Stegostoma tigrinum: one gene and its partners. The protein of the gene in region 1 purifies or fractionates together with the protein of each later gene. This does not show direct contact. Links are inferred from orthologs where the notes say so. Each region holds a gene or a part of one and is shown on either strand. Other genes may lie near its edges.

Region 1 (7,924 bases):
AAAATACCTCCTTAAGTCAATACCATTACAGTCATTGCAGCACAGTAGGAGTTTATTCAATTCACAACACAGCTCCCTGTACTGCAACTGATTCAATCCACTCCCTCACCTTACGGTCTGCATAAGAGAACTGCAAGTTCGGTTCCCTCAAATGCCCATCTAACTTGTTTCTCAAATTATTGATCAAGTACACTTTCATCCTCCTAGGCAACCAGTTCCAGGCAAACAATGGCCAATGATTAATTTAGAGGGCTACCAAGATAGGGTTTGAGAATTAGACTAGCTGGGTAGCTCTTTTGGAAGCCAGTGCAGGCATGATTGGCCAACGGCTTCCTTCTGTAAAATTCTATGATTCATCTCAAGGGTGGATTACAAGGAAAGCCATTAACAACATGTAACAGTACAGATAACCTAGCGACTTCAAAATATGAAGAGAAATGTCCAAGATATTACCAGGATAGGGTTCATAAGACAGGGTAGATAAAGATAAACCATTCCTAGTGGTTGGAGATTCTAGGACTAGGAGCACTGCAGTCAGCGCCAGATCAGTCAGCATAGATGTAAGGATGCACTTCTTTACACAGGTATGGAACAAACTGCCATAAACAGCAGTTGCTACCAGATAAGTTATTAGTTTTAAATCATGGAAATATTTTTTGTTAAGCAAAGGTATTAAGGGATTTGGGCCAAAAGCAGGTATATGAAGTTATGTCACAGATCAGCCATGATCTCACTGGATGGCAGAACAGACTTCCAGGAGTGAACAGCCTACTCCTGTTCCGACAAATAGAAATATTTAGCTCGATCTTAACTCCAAATATAACCATAAACTTCAGAGCAATGTCAAAGTAGTTTAAAATTAAGATCAAGATTGTTGTTCAGAAGTATTTGTCATACAAAGAATGATTGTCCTTTTAAGATTATTCTGGACATCAGTTCACAGTGATATGATGCTATAAGTTAGCACGAGTATCTCAAATTAACGACTTACAGTATAAACTTTAGCTATTTCTGGCAGATCTACTTTTAATGTAGAAAGGAATAACTAATAAAATCCTGGAACCTAGGAAACTAATAGCAATTCATACACAAGTTAGTCACTGTCGTGTATAATTTGCTCAAGACAACAAACTGGAAAATCTGCTTTCAAGGCTGCAAAACTGCTGAAATTTTGAGAGGTGAATCATTTCGGATCTATAATGCTCAAAGCAAAAAAAACAATTCAATACAGCATTTAAGAAAACACTTAAAAAAACAGAAGAATTCACAAATCGTACTGAAAGAAAGATCAATGTCAAACTTGACAGCAAAGTTTAAAATATTACCTCATTTTAAATAACCAAGATGATTAAAACCCTGGACCGACGATGGCCTATAAACAAAATGCTCAAAACAAGTTACGAGAGATATTGATGTACATATTGACAGAGTGACAAATTATTGGCTAGTTCAACCAGTTGAGGTACATCAACCACCTCCCCACCCCCATGCAAATTGGAGATGTAAAGCTCATTTATTCTAATAGAGCAATTACACTCCACAGTATGAAAGCAATAATTAATTTCAAGGCATTTCATGTTCCAACAGAAACAGCACACGGAGGCAAATAACTGATCATAATCTGCTTCTTTTCAAGAACAGACAATGATTTTTCTTAAATTATTGTGCCATACCGTCATGTGAAAACACGATAAAATGTGCGCAGATTGCCCATTTGATAGAATTCTGTGCATTTAAACCAAGAAACCTGCTCAAACAAACATAGGAACATAGAACACAAGTGCGTCTTTAGCGCCTGAGCTTATTTCATTTCAATGCAACCTGGCTATTCTGCAAATTAACTCCATGCACAAGTCATATCTCGCAAAAAATCAGTTACAATTACTTTATCTGGCATCATTTACTATTTGCAGAAGACAGCTTCAAATTTCTACCACCTGCTGTGAAATGTTTTTGAAAAGAATTGCTCAATGACGTTCCGGCAAATCATTCACAAGGATGTTTCATTTCAACTATTAACCTATCAGTTCATAACATTTCGTTAAACATCTCATTGCTCAACCAATAGTCAACATTTCAATAATTTTCCACAGACCTGAAAGATCACTTTTGATCATCTTTGTTTCAATGTTTAAACGTACATTTTCACAAATATGGTAAGTCAACTCGCCCTGAAAGTTGAACTTAAACTGCTAAGGGTAAAAACCATCACCTTATAGCTTAACGTATTTTCCAGACAGCAAAATAAAACAAGATAGCAGGGGAGCATCTGCGAAGCTGCTCAGTTCACAACTCCAAACTAAGTGACAACTTTATCCTTGAGGATCAGAGCAACTTGCGAATGAAAGGCAGCGGTCTGCCCAACAACGGACGCATCAGTCAGCCAATAGCAATGGCGGTTTTATTTGGGCGAGCCAATAAGAGGAGAATTGGGCGGAACTGCTATTGCCAGCGGGTTTGGCTGTTCTTCGGGCCGGCACTGTCTCTCCCCGAGTCACGCCTTGGTTACGGTGCCGAAAGAAAGATAGAGAGAGAGAAAAAAAAACTGACTGAGTGGAGAGGTTGGAGCCGGGGCCAACAACGAGCTCGATGCTCTGGCCACAAGCGGCTTGTCCATTTCAGCCCTGAGTCCGGGGGGGGGGGGTTTCCTCTGCGGGTTTGCAGGAGACAAGGCGAGGCGGTCAGTTAAAAACTTAGGCCTGCGGAGGAGGGAGGGGGGTGTGTGTATGTTTATGGGGGGGTGGGGGGAGAAGAGAGCAAAAGGGAAATCTCCGCGTTTGGGAGGCGATGCCAGCTGCCCGCCCCGGTCTGTTTCCGACTCCGTAGCCAACAACTCCCTTGCCCTTACCGGGAAGCGGCGCAGCCGTCACTTGAGCAAATGGTGGCGATGGCGCCGCTGTAGGCTTTTCTTCTGCCCGCGGCCTGCGCAGCGCGTGCGGCTGCTCCGGGCTCGAGCTCGGGCTCGCGCGCTGATGTCAGCGCAAGGATCGTGCCGCCATTGGCTGGAAACTCCCAGCATTCCGCGGGACGGGGGGGGCGGAGCTTGCAGTATCATCGCCGGTGCTGACGCCACTGAAACCAGCGTGTGTCAATTGTTAGTGCAAGGCGAGGGAAGTCAGTGGTGAAGCTGTTGTTCAGGCAAACCTCGTTACAGGAGCTACTTGGGGCTGCATTTTTTTTCTTGCACTCCACTCTGTCGATACGATCAAGTTCACCTGGAGCTTGGCTCATCTTCCAACACAATGGTACAAATCCCCACTCATCCTCTTGCAGAACGTGGCACCGCTCTTGTTGAGTATTTGGTCCATTGTGGCAGGTAACTAATTGCAGCGATTGCACAGGACACCGCTTGGCACCTAGGAGAAATTCCGTGGAGAGCAACGGATGAAGTAAAAACCAACCAGGACTGCAATGAAACTCTAAGCCTAGTTAATTAGGAAAGAAAAACTTTGGGGGCCGGAAGGACGTATTGCACGTAATAGGCTATATGATACCTTTTAAATGCAATAAAATATCCTTTCACATAAACGGAAAATGTAACGTATAAGCTACAGTAGGGTATTTCTAGGATTCGGCTAGCTTCTCGAGAACCGAAAACACTTCTACCAAAGATAAAGCCATGAAAATTGGAACACAGTTCGCTATTTTATTGCAAGATCGATATATTTCGCCTGTATGATAACTGTCTCGTGTGTCAGAAATAAGTTTCTTTATAAAGTACCTCATTCAAGCATTGTGCAATCCACCAGCGGAGAACATATGGCAATCGTTTTTCAGAGAACATTTGAGTGATTTGATTGCTTAATCGCAGCAAAACTTATTTTCCTTTTATAGAATGTTTACACATGTTTAATTTGGACAGGTACGTGAATTGGAAGGATGAGGGGGATACAGGCCAAACACAAGCAAATGTAGCTCGTTCAGTTCAGGAAAGCTGGTCGGCAAGAACCTTTGGGTCAAAAGGTCGTGTTCCATGCTGTATGACTCTTAAGTACCGAGTTGCATTCCAAATGTATACGTAGGAAGCTTTAATGCAACAAACGTTGATATATGTTGTCAAAACCAGCCCAGCCCGTTCCCGCCTCCCTAACCTGTTCTTCCTCTCACCTAAGATGAGGTGCTCCTAAGATGCTGCTTGGCCTGCGTTGTTCATCCAACTCCACGCTTTGTTATCCTTGATATACGTAGCAAGGGTTTTGGAAGCTCCCCTTCAAGTCCTGCTCCGGGGCTTGTTCACGATATAAGGAGTATTCATGACTTAGCCAAACTGGTTGATAATAAACCTGTTGCTGTTTAAAACGTCATAACAAAGTGTGGAGCTGGATGAATACAGCAGGCCAAGCAGCATCTTAGGAGCTGACGTTTCGGGCCTTGACCCTTCATCAGAAAAGGGGAATGGGGAGAGGATTCTGAAATAATTAGGAAGATAGGTGGAGAGGAGAGTATAGGTGGGGAGGACGGACAGGTCAAGGGGGTGGGATGAGGTTAGTAGGTAGGAAATGGAGGTGTGGCTTGAGGTGGGAGGAGGGGATAGGTGAGAGGAACAACAGGTTACGGAGGCTGGGACAAGTGGGGGCAGGGGAGATTTTGAAGCTGGTGAAATCCACATTGATAGCATTGGGAACAGCAGATGCTAGAGAATCTGAGAAAGCAAAGTGTGGAGCTGGATGAACACAACAGGCCAAGCAGCATCTTAGGAGCACAAAAGCTGACGTTTCGGGCCTAGACCCTTCATCAGAAAGGATTTTCAGTTGAAGGGTCTTGGCCCGAAACGTCAGCTTTGGTGCTCCTAAGATGCTGCGTGGCCTGCTGTGTTCATCCAGCTCCACACTTTGTTATACAAGATGGATTTGCCATTTTTTGTTAAAAAATGACTTATGATGCTGTTTGATTCTAAACTAAAATTCTATGCCAAACATCAGCTCTTTAATTTTACCTCTTTCAGTAACATTAACAATTACAAAGTCCTTTTCCTATCAATTTATATGGCTTTCAAAAGGCCTTCATTGTGGTACTTGCAATCAAACTCTGTTGAGCAGAATAAGCACTGTCAGATGATACCAGCTCAGTTTTTGTGCCATCTCCCGGGTCTGCAGAATAATTGGTGAACTCGGTAGAAGGTTGTCTCCTGATCGAAACTAATGTTTTCCTGTTTTTCCTCACCATCCTAATTTCTGTCTCCACAAGATTGTGCTCCAGATGTAGTGTTTTTCTCAATAACTTGTCCTTGACCATGAATCCATGTTGACTCCGCAGCCTGGAGATCTATAAATTGAGTACTCTGGCAATTAATATAAATCTGTGTATGAGTGAAATGGTATTTAATCAATCTAAAGCATATATCTTACAACACATATAAATGGACATAAAAGAGTAAGAAATTGAGTGCAGCTTCCTTCCCATTGGAAACTCAAACAGAGCCAGACTACCCCATAGCATTATAAAATGATAACTTTGTAGTGTCAGGTTAATGTCGTCATTCTTTTTCAGTAAAAAATTTATCTTAATCCCTTTCTGGCATCACTATTAGCTTGTAAATAACTCAGTGAGTTAGTCTTCTGGGCAAGCTCACAAGTATTTGAAGTATTCACAAGGAAAGTGTGGGCCTTGCCTAAAATGATTAGGCTTGGAATCCCAAGTGTCGAAGATTTTCAACGTGCAATGACAGCTTCAGGCATGTGACCACGTAGATGTTTTACCTCCATCCACCCAGCATAGTAATCAGCCACAATTAAAACCATCTTCCCTTTGGCTCAAAAAAATGTTCCCACTGTCTGTACAGAAGTGAAGACAGCAACTGTAATTCCCTTTGTTCTTACCAAAGGAGAGCACATTATTTCCGTTGGAGTTCTTTTCGAATAATTTTGGGGGCCTTGGCAATTGAACAGAATTGCATGTTTTGGCAGAACCCCTCTTGACATCTGCATAACATGAGTATGATTTTTGTTGTATATTGAGCTAGAGGACTGTTGGTATGGTCAATCTTACCTAATAAATCAAGGAGTTACTCACAATGCTGATATATTTCTTTGTCCAAAATATTACTTCAAAGGTGTTTCAGCCTGAGAGATGACATGATACGACATGTATCATTTGTAGATTGTGAAGGCGTTCAATGGGAAAGATACGGGAATTTTCAAAATTAAGGCCCAAAATATAAAAGTCATGAATAAATTGATAAGAAACTCAGGGCAAACTTCTTTATGTTGAAGATAGCATGCATGTAGACCCCATTGCCACGTAAGATTGTGGAAGATAGTGCAGATGAATTTAAAGGGACCTACGTTTAGCATGAGTAAATTTTTAAAAAGTATACATTGATAGGGTGTAATGAAGTGAGTTGGGTGGAGGATCATCTGAAGCATGTACAGCTGGATTAATTAGTCTGTTTCCGTTCTGTATAATTATAAGTAAGTTTGAATGATTGTGAAATGTGTCAAGAATGTAAAAGTTCTTTATGCTACATTGCAGTTCCTCTTTTCTTTAAAAATAATACTTTGTCAGTCAAGCTGCAAATGATTTTGTGAACCTGTTGTTCTCTTTGGGGCCTTGCTTTATGTCTCTCCCTTATTTTGCCTGGTTCTTATTAAAGTTTTTCTGTCACTTGTCAAAGGCTTTTAATGTATTTTTAGTTGTCCTGTTGGCTCAAAAATTTCCATATTTTAAAGACTTTGATTTTGTGCAGGCACTGACCAAGTCCAATTCAGTTCTTTATGTACAGAACAAACGTGGCCACCTCATGACTGACTATTGCCTCCAATAGTGTAATTTACCTGATGTGGCAATGCTTATATTATCTTCTGTAACATAGGAATGAGAGTAGGCCATTCAGCACTCAAACATGAATGAAATCATGATTGATCTGTGACCTAAATTATTGTATCTGCCTTTGGCCCATATTCCTTAATACCCTTGCTTAACAAAAATAGATCTCTCTCAGATTTAACAATAACAACTGATCCAACATCCACTGCCATTTGTGGAAGAAAATTCTTCATGTGCTTCCTAACATCTCTCCTGAATGGTCTGGCCCTAATTCCCAGACTATGTCCCCTAATTCTAGAATTGCCAACTAGTGGAAATAGTTTATCTACACCGTCTTCTCCTGTTAATATCTTGAAAACTTCAATCAGACCACCCCATGACTTTCTAAAAATTAACAAAAACCGGCCTCATTTGTATACTCTCTTCTCATAACATAATCCCTGAAGTCCTACGTTGCATTTTCATAAACCTATGTTGCATTCCCGCAGGACTAATATATCCTTTCTAAGGTATAGTGAGAAATCTGCTCAAAATGGAATGTAACCGGTATTTCGTACAACTACAGCATATCTACTGCATCCTTGTATCTCAATCCTCCACATATAAAGTGCAAGATTCCATTCACTTTCTTGCTTATTACTTCACCTGTTAATGGTATTTTAAAGATCTACGCAGCTGAACCCTCTAGGTGTCTTTGGACATCCATTATATTTAACTTCCAGAACCATCCAGAAAGTAGCTTAATTTGTACTTTTTGAATGGATAACCTCATACTTGCCAACATTGAATTCCATTTGCCACAGTTTCACCCATTCATTTCGACTATCAATATCCCCTTGTAAGTTTACGCTATCACCTACACAGTCTATAATGTTGCCTAACTGTGTCTTCTGCAAATGTGGATGCATGACTTTCTATGCTATTATCCAAGTTGTTAGTAAATAATGTGAATAATTGAAGCCCTACTGCAAAAATCCTGTGAGACACCACTGGTCACATTGTCCCAGTTTCAGTACCTACCCACTATGTCTATTTTCTGTAACGTGTAACTCAAAGAATTTCCCAGCTCTGTGAGTAATTTTCCCTCAACTCTGTAGATTCTAACTTTGTTAACAATCTATCTGAGATTTTATCAAATGCCTTCTAGAAGTCTATAAAA
Region 2 (6,911 bases), on another chromosome or scaffold:
GTTCACCTGCACATCTGCCAATGTGGTATACTGCATCCACTGTACCTGGTGCGGCTTCCTCTACATTGGGGAAACCAAGCGTAGGCTTGGGCACCGCTTTGCAGAACACCTCCGCTCGGTTCGCAATAAACAACTGCACCTCCCAGTCGCAAACCATTTCCACTCCCCCTCCCATTCTTTAGATGACATGTCCATCATGGGCCTCCTGCAGTGCCACAATGATGCCACCCGAAGGTTGCAGGAACAGCAACTCATATTCTGCTTGGGAACCCTGCAGCCCAATGGTATCAATGTGGACTTCACCAGCTTCAAAATCTCCCCTTCCCCCACCGCATCCCAAAACCAGCCCAGTTCGACCCCTCCCCGCACTGCATCACACAACCAGCCCAGCTCTTCCCCTCCACCCACTGCATCCCAAAACCAGTCCAACCTGTCTCTGCCTCCCTAACCTGTTCTTCCTCTCACCCATCCCTTCCTCCCACCCCAAGCCGCACCTCCATCTCCTACCTACTAACCTCATCCCACATCCTTGACCTGTCCGTCTTCCCTGGACTGACCTATCCCCTCCCTACCTCCCCACCTATACTCTCCTCTCCACCTATCTTCTTTTCTCTCCATCTTCGGTCCGCCTCCCCCTTTCTCCCTATTTATTCCAGAACCCTCACCCCATCCCCCTCTCTAATGAAGGGTCCAGGCCCAAAACGTCAGCTTTTGTGCTCCTGAGATGCTGCTGGGCCTGCTGTGTTCATCCAGCCTCACATTTTATTGTCTACACCTTGGTATCTCAGATTCTCCAGCATCTGCAGTTCCCACTAACATTGACACACATTCCAGTATCAATTCAAATCCAAATAACAGTCTTCAAGGATTGAGGTTTACGCAAAAGAGCTGATGACATCAGCTACAATTGGAGGAACAGTGTGGCCCCATAGCTTTGGGTGCTGCTGGTCCTTTGGTTCTTCTGGATGACGATGTCTAATGTGTCCTTCTATTTGCAAAGATGTAGCTGCCGAAGAGTTGTCCAGCAGTAGCTGAGTCAGTATGCTTCCACCTTCAGAGAGGGTCAACAGTGCAGAGAGGCCAGGGAGTCCGGCCTCTGCACTAGGCTTTTATGAGCTTGTTGTTTCCAATTAGAATCCTTCTGAACAGTGTGTGCTGCAGCCCCCTCCTATCAGGCTGAGTCACTTACCTTGCCCACTCAGCATGGTTGTAGCCATTTTCTTTCCATTGCACATTTTTGATTTTAAGGGTAACGTAAGGTGATAGTGAGTACTTTACAGTGACTCCCAGCCTCAGCCTGACTATGTCAATGTGTAGTCTAATAGCCTTTCCGAGTGGCCCATTCTGTCAAAAACATCAGATTAACATTTCCACAAGTCCTCACCCAACTCATCTACATTCGTCTACATCTATCTACCCTTTCCACCCAGACTCAAGCAAACAAGGTGAACATGCCTGGTTTGTCATTCATGCCCACGCCTTGAAGCCAGGGTACTACTAACCATGAACAATTGCTCCTCCGTCATAACATATGTCCCAGCTATGCTTTACAACCTGGCACACATCAAAATTCTGCTGGATCCCTCCTCGATTGTAGTGCACCATTTGCACAGTGGGCATTCCCCAGTCCCAAAGGCTAACGTGTTGGTACAAGACTGTAGCCACTATTTCACCCTCACCTGTCCAAACCACTTACTTTCTGAGAATGGAACTGGCAGACTGACAGTGGCCCACTTCCTCAACCAAGGGGTAACTGGACAGTCCCAGGCCAAATGTGCCCAGTCTCTTGACTGCCATCTATACATCTCCCTAACCATATTATTGCTGCCCTTTGGATTGGCTTCAACAATGTCAATAGACTGACCTTGGCCCACATAGATCCTCTTGAGTGAAAACCCACCCAAAGGATGCCTGACATGGTCAGTTGCCTGGACTATATTGAGAAGTTGCCTATGATGTACTGTGCTGGGATCTTCCCTGACAAAGAGGCCCTTGGGCTTCTTTGAAGATTATGCTTCAGAAATTTCTGAAGAAGGGTTCTGACCTGAAACATCAGCTTTCCTGCTCCTCTGATGCTGCCTGGCCTGCTGTGTTCCTCCAGATCCACACAGTGTTATCTCAGACTCCAGCATCGGCAGTTCTTACTATCTCTGGTACATAAAGTTACCCATTATAGATAATCAGAGAAAATTATCATGCATTAACAGAACTGTTCATTACCTCTAGTCAGTTACACTTCTATTAAGTTTTGTACAAGCATTGCCTACAAAGTCTCTCTCAATGCTATGTGTGTGCATTGACATTGGCTGTTTGGTATCTCGTTGCTCCTGGTGTGTCACTTCCATGGCAAGTGCTGTGACTATGGTAACTGTTGTTACCGATTCATTTCCATTGCTAAGGGATGGTGGTCAGCTGCATACAGTGAAGTACAGGATCTTCAGCTGAATGGCAATGTCTACGGGTTGTATTTTTTTAGCCTCCTTGCTGTTTCATTCCGTAATAAGTCTGAAAATTCACTATTTTTCAGTTGAATACTTATTACTGTTTTGGATATTTTCTTTTTACAAGATTTAATGTACACCACATTACTAGTGATAACTGCTTGCTTTGCTGTAGATGCCTGCTGGGGATATTTCAAAAAGGGACTGGCTGGTTTTTGTTTTATCTGGTTCACCATTCAGCTGCACTTTCCTGGCTGCCACAGCTTGCATGTAAAAGCACTCTTAGCTGAAGTAGAGGTCAAACGATTACAACAAGTCATCCAGTACACCAAGTACAAATGCATTTCTCAAAGCAGTTATATAATATATTTTTACAGAAGCAAATATATTTTAAATAAATATTTCTTGAAAAAAAATCTATACAAGTACTTCCTGGTTTGCAAAGCATTTTAGAATTTCTTGTGAACAAGGCTGGAGGAACATTATAGTTCTGATCCCATTACTCCACGCGTCACAACATATAATAGAAATCTTTTTTCCAGGCATCAAAATGGCCAATTAAATGCTTTTTCTATATCATATTTTTAAAAAAATCTTTGAATCAGGTTGCTTAATAAAATACAATTTCAAATTTATCAAAGTACAAGTAATTTAGTAAAGATACAATAATTGGTTAGTGTTCACAGGCAGTAGTAGAGATGTATAAATGTTTCTCGTTCTCAATATCTCCACAACACGCATGCTTCGGGGAAAAGAGAAAAAGAAACAGCAGACATTGGCTATCTGGAAAAATGGGAAAGAAAAACATTTTTGTCAAGAGTTATTCTTAAAGGGAAAAGGATAAAGCAGAAGATGTTCCAATGTGCACTGTTCTGATGTTCTGGCATATGTGGTAAAATCATACATGTCTCTGAAGTCTTGTAAACACAGTTTGCTCATGGAATACAATCTAGCAATGTATTGTCAATCATTCTTTCATAAGAACAAATAAATTCCACTCAACAAGAGAGTTTTTTCAGAAATGAGAGAGAAGAGCTCGGCAGCTTTTTGTTAGAAAGCTCTCCCTGACTCAGCTTGTTCTTAGCAAGCTTCCCTCCAACTGAACCAGATAAAACAAAAACCAGCCAGTCCCTTTTCGAAATATCCACAGCAGACCATGCAAACTTAGCAATAACAAAATTGTTCAGCACAAAGATAAATCTACACCACTTTACTCTTCTGGTACAGTAGTTGTGTCTCTACTTTTTGGTAGGTTCAAGTCGCATCGACTCCAGAAATGCGTAATAAGATTGATCAGAAAGGTATATAAAACTAACAACAGCTAAGAAAGTCCTCCATTGCAGGGGTATGCTGCTGGGCGGAGCAGAGATCTTTAACTCAGCGGAGTACCTTCTTGCATTCATCCTGCCTATCGTTGTTTATATGGCCTCATGTGTATATGATTGGCTGGTGTATGTCACATGCTTGTGTAGCCGGAAGAGAAGCAGCGGTGAGAAAGTGCGGTAGCCATTTTCTGTCCAACGGTGTTACTTTTACTTTTTTTAAAAAAAGGTAGTGATCATCGCAGGGGACGAGCAAGGGGGGCGCAATTGTTTCTTGCGGATGGACGTAAAGATTATTAAAAAAAACTTAGCGCCGTTGGCAGGAGGCCTAGGTACTCTAACCTCTAGCAACAAGCGTCACAACACAGATAGGGGTCACAGTAACCCATAGCAACAGGGGTGACAGTAACCTGTAGCAACTAATGTCACTTACACACCGATGGGACAACTGTAAAGTTCTGAATCTCCTTAGGTTATTTAATCATTTAAAATATCATTTCAGTAGATTAATGGTTCTTCACAAATCCATGACATTCTAATCCTGTCACGATATTCTCACGATGTCCTCGTATTTGGAGATGAGGCATGACTTGTCATTGAGGTTGTTTTTCCGCATGGTCCGTCTATATAGTCTCCGATGTGATCAGTACCTGAGCACAATATCAGGCCCACTGATACGGAATGTAGTTGCCTCCTCTGGCCTTCAAGGGTTGCACTGACTAGGAATTCCCACACCACTGAGCATGTGATTTGAAGGAGGTGTCGTGATGATCTGATCTTTCTGTACAGGAAGGAAATTAGACCAGCATGTCTGAGCTGAGTGATGACTCAAGTGAGACCGAGCTTCTGAATCGCAGCTTGTCCATGTGGCATGGCTTTGAACAGCTAGTTGGCTGTGAGGACCTGGATGTCCCTTTAGACCTTCACACGGCATCATCGATTGGACAGTATGATGTGGTGAAGGAGTGTATCCAGAGGTAAGAGCAGGAAGACTGTTAGTTGCCAGTGAGACCCAATGTGCAAGGATAATAATTTAGCCAGCATAAGCATGTTTACTTAAAGATGTGAATTCTTCCAAATTAACTTTTACTCTGCTTGTAGAAACTATTAAACTGGCTGATTTATGAATCCTCATGTATCATTACATCAGGTGCTTCCATACCTGAATGCTGTCAATTGATCCACCAAATCACTTCAGCTGGAAAGTGCTTATGTGGATTACAGATTGATGGTCAGTATTATCAATCTGTTGATAATTCCACTGAAAATCATTACATCAGCAATCCTAGAATGAAATCTTCATCAGTAGTGCCAGCGTTCAACACACTCCAACAAATCCAAAATCATATCTCACCTTCAGGAACCTGCACACTCTGCCAAAACTAGCCCCAACATAAGAATCCCTATTTAGTGCCTGACACAGTTACAGAAAGTGAAAACCAATGTCAAACTGTAGGGACTGTAACTTATCATCTTGCATTTCAGACAGGTGTTGACGGTACCCGTTGGTCGAGGGAATCTTTAGTGACTGGGTCTGTCTGTGTGTGTGTATGTGTGGACCTGGCTCAGTTGTGTATGACAGGGGAGTGGGAAAGTATCTGGCACTGTGTGTGTGTGTGTGTGTGTGTGCATGTGTGTGTGTGTGTGTATGTGGCTCAGATGGGGTTGGTATGTTTGTGTGCGGACCTGGCTGGCTGTGTGTGGGGGAGCGGGACTGTGAAATTGGAATGATTTGTTATTTGCCTTGTTTAGAGGAAAAGTAAACCCGAATCAGAAGAACCGGGGAGGCTGGACACCTCTGATGTACGCGTCATATATTGGTCATGATACTGTTGTTCACCTCTTGCTGGAGGCAGGAGTGGATGTCAACATGACAACAGAGAGAGGGCAGAGTGCATTGATGTTGGCAGCAAGCTGTGGCAATGAGAGCATTGCCTACTTCTTGCTTCAGGTCAGTATGTTTTGGGGTCAGTGATTATGCAGTGTGGTCTGGGGCAAGTTAGTGGTATAATTTGGATTATGGAAACAGTGATGGAGATAAAGTAGCACCATTCAGGCAACAGAATATCTTGGGTATGTAATGAATGGGATTGAATTGGTGCAGAGACATTAAAAGGAAACTGTGACTATAACACACATCACTGAAAGTTGATAAAATGTGAGGCTGGAAGAACACAGCAGGCCCAGCAGCATCTCAGGAGCTCAAAAGCTGACGTTTCGGGCCTAGACCCTTCATCGGAGAGCTCTGAAACCAATCCTTCGAGAGAGCTCTGATGAAGGGTCTAGGCCCGAAACGTCAGCTTTTGTGCTCCTGAGATGCTGCTGGGCCTGCTGTGTTCTTCCAGCCTCACATTTTATTATCATGGATTCTCCAGCATCTGCAGTTCCCATTATCACTGAACGTTGAGCCAGTGTACAAGGCAATAGAACTGGAATGCTTGGATATGTAGCCACAACAGATGTATATGATTCCACAGCAATTAAATTGATGATGTATAATGCACAGGGCAGCTCTCTTTTTACCATAATGGTTACCTCAAGATCATAGGTGTATTTATCCGGCAGAACTACTGAGCTATTAGGAAAGATTACAGACTACGTCGAGGAGAGAAGATGGTTTGCAGGATATTGTTCAGGATATTAATATTGAGTGGGAAGTTTAGGGGACATATCATTGCAAATGTTTGATGCAAACGAAGCTGCAGAAGTAGAATCAGATATCAAAATTTGGGCTTCAGTGGAAGGTTTTGGACATGGAGGGACTAAGGTGCAGTAGGAGGGTTAGGGTACTCGAAGGATTGGTTTCAGTTGGTACTGGAGGTTTGGGTTTACCTGGAAGTGTTAAGACACAAGAGGGCTGAGATTTGATGAGCTGAATTGCTTTTTCTTTCAAGCAGCAAGGGGCTGAACTGGAACTGAAGGATCACAGAGGCTGGACTGCACTGTTCCATTGCACGAGCACTGGACACCAGCAAATGGTGAAGTTCCTTCTGGATAATGGGGCTGATGCAAATCTAAAGTAAGATACGGGGTAGATATGATTTGCATGTCCTTCATCCTGAGAGCATATTCTTTGTTCAATGTTTTGTTCACTGCTCACACAAATATTAAACATCTGCTAATGCACAACAGGCCTACCTGTATTTAA
Region 3 (7,133 bases), on another chromosome or scaffold:
AACTGAAATCCTCCAATCCCAGCAAAATCCTGATAAATCTTTTCTGCACCCTCTCCAATTTAATACGAATATCCTTCCCAAAGCAGGCCACCCAGAACTGTACACAGTACTCCAAAAGTGGCCTCGCCAACATCTTGTGCAACCTCAAAATGTTGTTCCAACTCTTACACTCAATGGTCTGAGCAATGAAAACAAACATGCTAGATGCCCTCTTAACCATTCTGCCTACTTAGGGCATAACTTTCAAAGAACTTTGTATCTAAACTCCTATGTCTCTCTTCTACAACAGTGCCTAGAGCCCTACCATTAACTGTATAAATCTTGCCCTTGTTCATTTTATCAAAATACAAACTCTTGCATTAATTCAAATTAAATGTCATCTGTCAGTCCTCAGCCCATTGGCCCAATTGATCAAGATCCCTTTGTAACTTTAGATAACCTTCTTCACTGTCGACTATACCACTAATTTTGCCACCCACAGATGTACTAACCAGACCTTCTGAATTCCCATCCAAATTTAGGCATCGGTAGATAGATTTTTGATTATAAGGGGGATGAAACATTATTGGGAGTATGCAGGAATGTGGAATTGAAGTGAAAATCAGACCAGTCTTTGTCTGATAAAATGGTGATGCAAGCTCAAAGGTTGCTTGATAATAAAATGTGAGGCTGGATGAACACAGCAGGCCAAGCAGCATCTCAGGAGCACAAAAGCTGACGTTTCGGGCCTAGACCCTTCATCAGAGCTCTGATGAAGGGTCTAGGCCCGAAACGTCAGCTTTTGTGCTCCCGAGATGCTGCTTGGCCTGCTGTGTTCATCCAGCCTCACATTTTATTATCTTGGAATCTCCAGCATCTGCAGTTCCCATTATCTCTCAAAGGTTGCTTGTCATGTTGTGATCCATTTTACAAGAATCAGCGATAAAGGATAAATATCAGGAAGCAAATAGGACTAGATTAATTTAGGATACCTGGTTGGTATAGATGAGTTGGAATGAAGGGTCTGTTTCCCTGCTGTAAATCTCTATGACTAAATGTCATTGTTCCTCTATGAAAGAGCATAAATTATACTCATACATGAGATAACAAGGTGCAGAGCTGATGAACACAGCAGGCCAAGCAGTATCACAGGAGCAGGAAAGCTGACGTTTTGGGCCTAGACCCTTATCCTCTCACAAGGTTAGGCATTTCTTCTGATTTACATTTCATCGGGAAAGTACCTGTTATATCACAACACTATGCCAGTGCTGGATTTTGTTGGAGCCGAATACACCACCTTCTGGTTGGAAGTGTTGTCAATTTCAGCTACATTGACAAGATAATAGAACAAGATAACAAAGTGTGAAGCTGGATGAACACAGCAGGCCACTTAACTGTCCTCTGGGCAATCAGCGATGGGCAACAAATGCTGCCTAGCAGCGACGCTCTCATCCCGTGAATGAATTTTAAAAAGTCCCCTGTTATTTTAAGGTTGAGCACATATTGGACTGCAGACGTTAATTCTGTTTCTCTCTACGATGGTGCTGCTATTTCCAGCGTCTTGAGTTTATTGCAGATTTCCAGCATCTGCATTGCTGCCATCCCCTTCAAACCCCTACCTGATTTGGGCCGATTGGTGGTCTTGGAATCCAGGTAGTCTCTGATCTCCTTCTGCCTACAGGCGCAGGCGATCTCGAAGGCGGTCATCCCTCCCACGTTCGTCTGATTGGGATCCGAGCCTGCATCGACCAGCTGCTGGGCCACGGCCAGCTCGCCGTTGAGTGCCGCCAGCATCAGGGCGCTCCAGCCCCCAGCGCGTCCCGCAGGCGCTCCGGAGCAGGAAGCCCCCCATTCCAGCAGGGCCCTGACCAGCGGCTCAGCGCCATGTTGGGCCGCCACCATCAGGGGTGTCAAGGCGGGGGCGAGCGCAGGCTCCTGCCCCTCCCCCACCCGCTGCTGCCGGCCCCCACCGCCCGCATCCGGGCACGCGCCGCCCTCCAGCAGGGCGCGCGCCAGGCCGACGTGGCCTCCGCGCGCCGCCGCCGTCAGCACGCTGGCGCCCAGCTTGTTGGCGGCGTTGGCGTCGGCGCCGTGCTCCAGCAGCACGCGCGCTACGCCCAGCTGCCCGAAGCGGGCCGCCTGCATCAGCGGCGTCCAGCCGTAGCGGTTGCGGCTGTCCACCGAGGCGCCCTTCATCAGCAGGAACCGCACCAGGTGCTCGTGGCCGTGGCCGGCCGCGAACTGCAGCGCCGAGTTGCCGTCGTCGTCCGTGCAGTCGACGGGCACCTGCGGGGCCCTGAAGTCCGGGCCCGCCGCCTGCTCGCCCCGCTCTACCTCCTCTTTCTTCTTCTCCTCATCCTCCTCGTCGCCGTCTCGCGGTGCCGGCTCCAGCAGCCGCCTGGCGTTCTCGAAGTTTCCTTCTTCGCAGGCGCGGAACAGAAGCTGGTAGATTGGGGGGATCCCGCACTCCATTTTTTTTTAAGGCCTAGGCGGCAACAGCAAAGGTGATGCGTCCCGGTCGCCCATCAGCGTCCAGCCCTGAAGCAACGACATCGCTGCGACGTTCTTCTTTCCTCTCACGCCGGAGTTGGTCGCCAGTCGGGATTTGCGAGGAACCCTGATGCACGTTGGAACCGTCTTTCCCGTTACTATAGCGACCAATTGAGGTCAGTTCTCCCGGTGCTGAACCCTATTGACGGGTCGGTGCAGAAAACAGAAGGGCCGAGCCCAAGTAACCCTCCCTGCGATTGACATGACGAACGACCAATCAGACACCACCGTCTCACTCGTTTCCCCGCCTCCTTCCCGACTTCATTTGAAGAGCCCCGAAACCGCGCGATTCGCGGCGAGGAGGGACGAGGCTTCAGTACCGAGCGACACGTCGAACTGTTCCCAAAGGGCTGGCTAATAGGCTGTGCCGAATGACGCTACCACATGCGTCACAATGGGATTTCCCCAGGCTCTGCTTCTGACTATGGGAACCCCGCGCTCATGCGCGTCCCAGAGCCCAGCTGTACACTAACCTCAGTGATCGAGGGGGCTGCCGAACAATCTACGTGATGCTTCTGTATGCACTCGCTCCGGGATGAGGCTGGCTACTTTTTTGAAGTCCCAAAGCATACGAGAGAAATGGACTAAACATTCGGCAAATAAACCAGATGACCAAATTTATCACGCCTCTAATTTTTGAATGAAATAGTGTTTCAGGACCAGGACCTGCAACCCAAGTCTGATCTTGTGGTTTATTAGACAGCAATGGTGTCCGTGCTACTAAAAACTGAAGACGCTTGGGCAACCCACAGAGGGCAGTTTAAAGCATTGGAAAATCAGTAGAGCCTTGTGTAGTGGTAGTGACCTAATTTCTGAGCCAGGAGGCTTCCGTTCAAGTTCCATCAGCATGTGCAAAACATTTGAGTTGATCAGAAAATACCTAAAAATAGGGAGGTGTGGCTAAAATTACACAAGACATTAGTCAGACCTCACCCTGGACTATGTCAACAAATTTGATCTCCTTGCCTTGGAAAAGATACACTGGCATTGGAGACCATTCAGAGAAAAGTTCACTATGTTGATTGCAGGGATGCGGGGAATTGTCTTTCGGGGAGAGGTCGTGTAGTTTGGACTTGGTTGGGTAGCTGACATTTAGAAGAATGAGAAGCAATCTTACAGAAACAAGATTCTTGTAGAGCTTAACAAAGTAGATGAGGAGACACTGTTTCTCCTTGTGGGAGAGTTTTGGAGCAGAGAGCTTAATCTCAGAGTAAAGAAATTGCCTGTTTAAGACAGTTTGTTTTCTTTCAAATGGTAATAATCTGGAATTCTTGACTGTGGAGGCTGGTCATTAAATGTGTTATCTCGCAGATTGGCTGTTTCTTTGAAGTTGTTTACAGTGTTACTTGGTTCTAGTTAAAGGTTTTTTTTAAATCACGAAAAATTTCAATGTCATTATAAAACTTAAAAATGAAGGCACCAAACGAAAACGTTAAAGAGATGTCTAGCATATCTTGTCTCATTAACTAAAGAGTGTTAACTGTAGAAGTAATTACACAATTTTAATATGAATTTTATAACAGAATTAACTTTTTTTAAATTAAAAAGAAGTAATAAAATTTGATGAGTATGACAAGTGCAGTAAACGGTGGAATCCAGTCAGTCCTCAGAGGTGAGCGGGCCACGAGGTGGCCAGAGGAGTGCGACCAGTAACTTTGGAATGCAACATAGAAAGGTCCCAAAGTCTAAAGATTACAGTAATTGTTAAAAGGCTAAGGGATTCGAGGGTTGTCTATACTAATGCCCATCATTGATCAGGTGTTTTACAGGATTGGTCCTATTGACAGGAAGGTGAGGGTACAGTAACCACATTGTGTATGATCATTGTAAAACAAAATGTATAAAAATACTCCATTTTTACTGTAAAAATCAGCATGTGATTGATCTCTTTTCTGATCTGAGATGCAGATTAAGGGAACAATTGTGTTCTCATGTCCAAGCCAGGTTCAAGGAAGATTATTTGGCCCTCTCCCTGCATTAACTGGTTTTTGCTTGACTAAATGTCCACTACGTGCCTGAATCCTGTCTATCTCCTGAGTCTTTGTCCTTGGTTAGGGGTCACAGTCTTACAGCGTTCAAGGTTGAGACGGACAGATTTTTGATCAGGAAGGGTTTCTCGAGTTATTGAGATACAGCAGGAAATTGGAGTTGAGGATTATCAGATCAGCCACTGAACTCATTGAATGGCAAAATTGACTCCTTGAGCCAAATGGCCTATGGTCATATGTCTTATGGTAACACCAGTACCTTCACGTGAAGCTTAAAATCCCATGTCAAGCAAGTTCATCCAACAGCAGCACCATCTCCCAGGTAAACATGCCTATCATCTAGACCTTAACCCCACACAACCAGATCTGGTTAGGTAGAAGACAAAATTACAGAATGATCCCAGCACAGGAGAAGGCTTTTTGATCTTTCATGTGTGCAGAGGCATTAGCAATTTATCTAGTTCCACTACCTGGCTTTCTCCCTGCTCCCTGCAAATTCTTCCTTTTCAGATGATTACAGAATGTTTTTAGCACGGAAGAAGACCATTCTGATTATGCTAATACTCTGATGGAGAAATGCATAAAGTGCCACTGTCCTGATTTTTCCATTTTGGCTTGAATTTTTTTCAAATGATGTTACAATCTTGAAGGAGATTATTAACATTTAACCCCAACTCAAACTACCAATTATTATTTGAAAGAATAATGTGTCATAGATCCACATTTCAAACAAAAAGAACTCATACTGTACAAGAGCTAAATAGAACAAGTATAATTAGTTTAACACTCTATTTTGTAAACAGTTGGATTTTCAATGCAAAAATCTCAATGCAAAGTCCCTGTTAATAGTGTTTATGGGCAAATGGCCTAATTCTGCTCCTATATCTTATGATCTTTATTTCCACCCAAGTGTTCCCTTGCACGTGCAGGATCTAACTGAGTCTACACTTTTTAGGATTCATCCCCATAACCCACCTAATCTAGGGCAATTTAGCATGACCAATTCACCTAATGGGCACATTTTTGGACTGTGGGAGGAGACCGGAGCACCTGCAGGAACCCCACACAGACACTGGGAGAATGTGCAAACTCCACACAGGCAGTTGCCCAAGGCTGGGATCGAACCCCGGTCCTTGGTGCCACAGCTTTCAGGAATTCACCAGTGATTCTTCTCAGTTTTCCCACTATTCTCTAAGATATGAGATTTCTTGGAGAACTTCCTCTATCATTCAGTTATGTAATCTCCAAATCTTTTGAAACACTTGTATTTATGCCACCCCATATTTAAAAATGGGGCTGTCTGTTCGTTTGTTCAGTGTCTCCAAAACCAGAAAGCACCTCCATTTCTGATTGTAATTTGGATAGGATGTACCAAAGGGCTAAAAGTCAATGATGATATTCGAAAGCTGCACGACCTTGAAGGAGTCCAGTGAGCATTCCTGTATGTGCTGAAGACAGCACAATCGTGTTTTTCTATAATTGTTTTTTTCTTTGCCTTGCTGTTTGTTACACCGTATAAGAGAGAGAGTTTTGTTCCAAGTCACTGGACTTCACCTCGGATCAGGATTGCAGATGTTGCCAGAAACAACTCAGCCTCCAGACCAGCCCTCGATCAAGGGGACCCTGACAGGCATAAGGGCGGGAGGCTTATTGTTTTTTTCCTCTCTTTATCATTCTTTTTATTTACTTAATAAATGTTTCTTTCTTTTTCAGCTTTTATTATAACTCAATAAATGTTCATATTTAAGCAAATTGCTATTGTTGAGCCTTCTCTTAACCACATTTAACCGAATCTGAAAAGAACCACTTGGATGCACTGTGATCCAAGACACACTGTCATCCATGTGTGAATTTCCAAGCTATTTTTGAATTAATTTATTCAGAATTCACCTACTAAATATTATTGGCCTCCATATTTGTAGTTTTTTCATCACATAACTGTAGATGTACTTCTATTCTTAAGACCATTGCCTAGACTCAAACTTTTGTTCCTCTATTTGAGATAGTAATTCTAAAAGGACTTTCATTGTGTAAATAATTTATTCCCCTGTCAGTCAAAATCTTCTTTACCTAATTTAGTGAAAATCTTCTTAATTAAGTGATATCACTCAGATGGTGCTATTGCTCACAAGGAAAAAGGTCTTGTATTCCTCTTAGTTCTGGTGTTTGAATAGTTTGTGATCCTTCACTTTTCCTGCTTCCATTCAGAATGTTGATAGCTTCTTCATTTTAGACCTCCACCTCCATGTCACATTCCAACATCATGTCTTTCATACAACTGACATATAACATTCACTTATATCCTTTGGCAACAGCTGAATAACTAGGGGGTGTCGTGGTGGCTCAGTGGTTAGCACTGCTGCCTCACAGCACCAGGGACCGGGGTTCGATCCCAGCCTTGGGCAACTGCCTGTGTGGAGTTTGCACATTCTCCCAGTGTCTGTGTGCGTTTCCTGCAGGTGCTCCGGTTTCCTCCCACAGTCCAAAGTGCACATTAGGTGAATTGGTCATGCTAAATTGCCCTAGATTAGGTGGGTTATGGGGGATGAATCTGCATGGAATGCTATGAGGTTTGGTGTGGACTTGTTGACTCAAAGGGCCTGTTTCAACACTGTA

The links. Proteins that work in one complex are often made in the same cells at the same time.
Region 2: the proteins of nek7 (region 1) and anks3 purify together in Homo sapiens (affinity purification with mass spectrometry; 3 studies listed by BioGRID and IntAct, with this or other methods). This does not show direct contact. The link is inferred for Stegostoma tigrinum from reciprocal best matches to the Homo sapiens genes NEK7 and ANKS3.
Region 3: the proteins of nek7 (region 1) and ankyrin repeat and SAM domain-containing protein 6-like purify together in Homo sapiens (affinity purification with mass spectrometry; 3 studies listed by BioGRID and IntAct, with this or other methods). This does not show direct contact. The link is inferred for Stegostoma tigrinum from reciprocal best matches to the Homo sapiens genes NEK7 and ANKS6.

The regions. Positions count from the first base shown.
Region 1 is NC_081361.1:37,332,821-37,340,744, reverse strand, and holds the start of nek7 (serine/threonine-protein kinase Nek7), read right to left. Parts: upstream 3,012-7,924; 5' UTR 2,849-3,011; intron 2,328-2,848; exon of another isoform or gene 2,213-2,327; intron 1-2,212. UniProt on the Homo sapiens protein: Protein kinase which plays an important role in mitotic cell cycle progression. Required for microtubule nucleation activity of the centrosome, robust mitotic spindle formation and cytokinesis.
Region 2 is NC_081376.1:31,370,838-31,377,748, reverse strand, and holds the start of anks3 (ankyrin repeat and SAM domain-containing protein 3), read left to right. Parts: upstream 1-3,910; 5' UTR 3,911-4,095; exon of another isoform or gene 4,096-4,552; 5' UTR 4,553-4,570; coding exon 4,571-4,740; intron 4,741-5,515; coding exon 5,516-5,714; intron 5,715-6,660; coding exon 6,661-6,782; intron 6,783-6,911. UniProt on the Homo sapiens protein: May be involved in vasopressin signaling in the kidney.
Region 3 is NC_081355.1:20,774,482-20,781,614, reverse strand, and holds the start of ankyrin repeat and SAM domain-containing protein 6-like, read right to left. Parts: upstream 3,002-7,133; 5' UTR 2,452-3,001; coding exon 1,599-2,451; intron 1-1,598.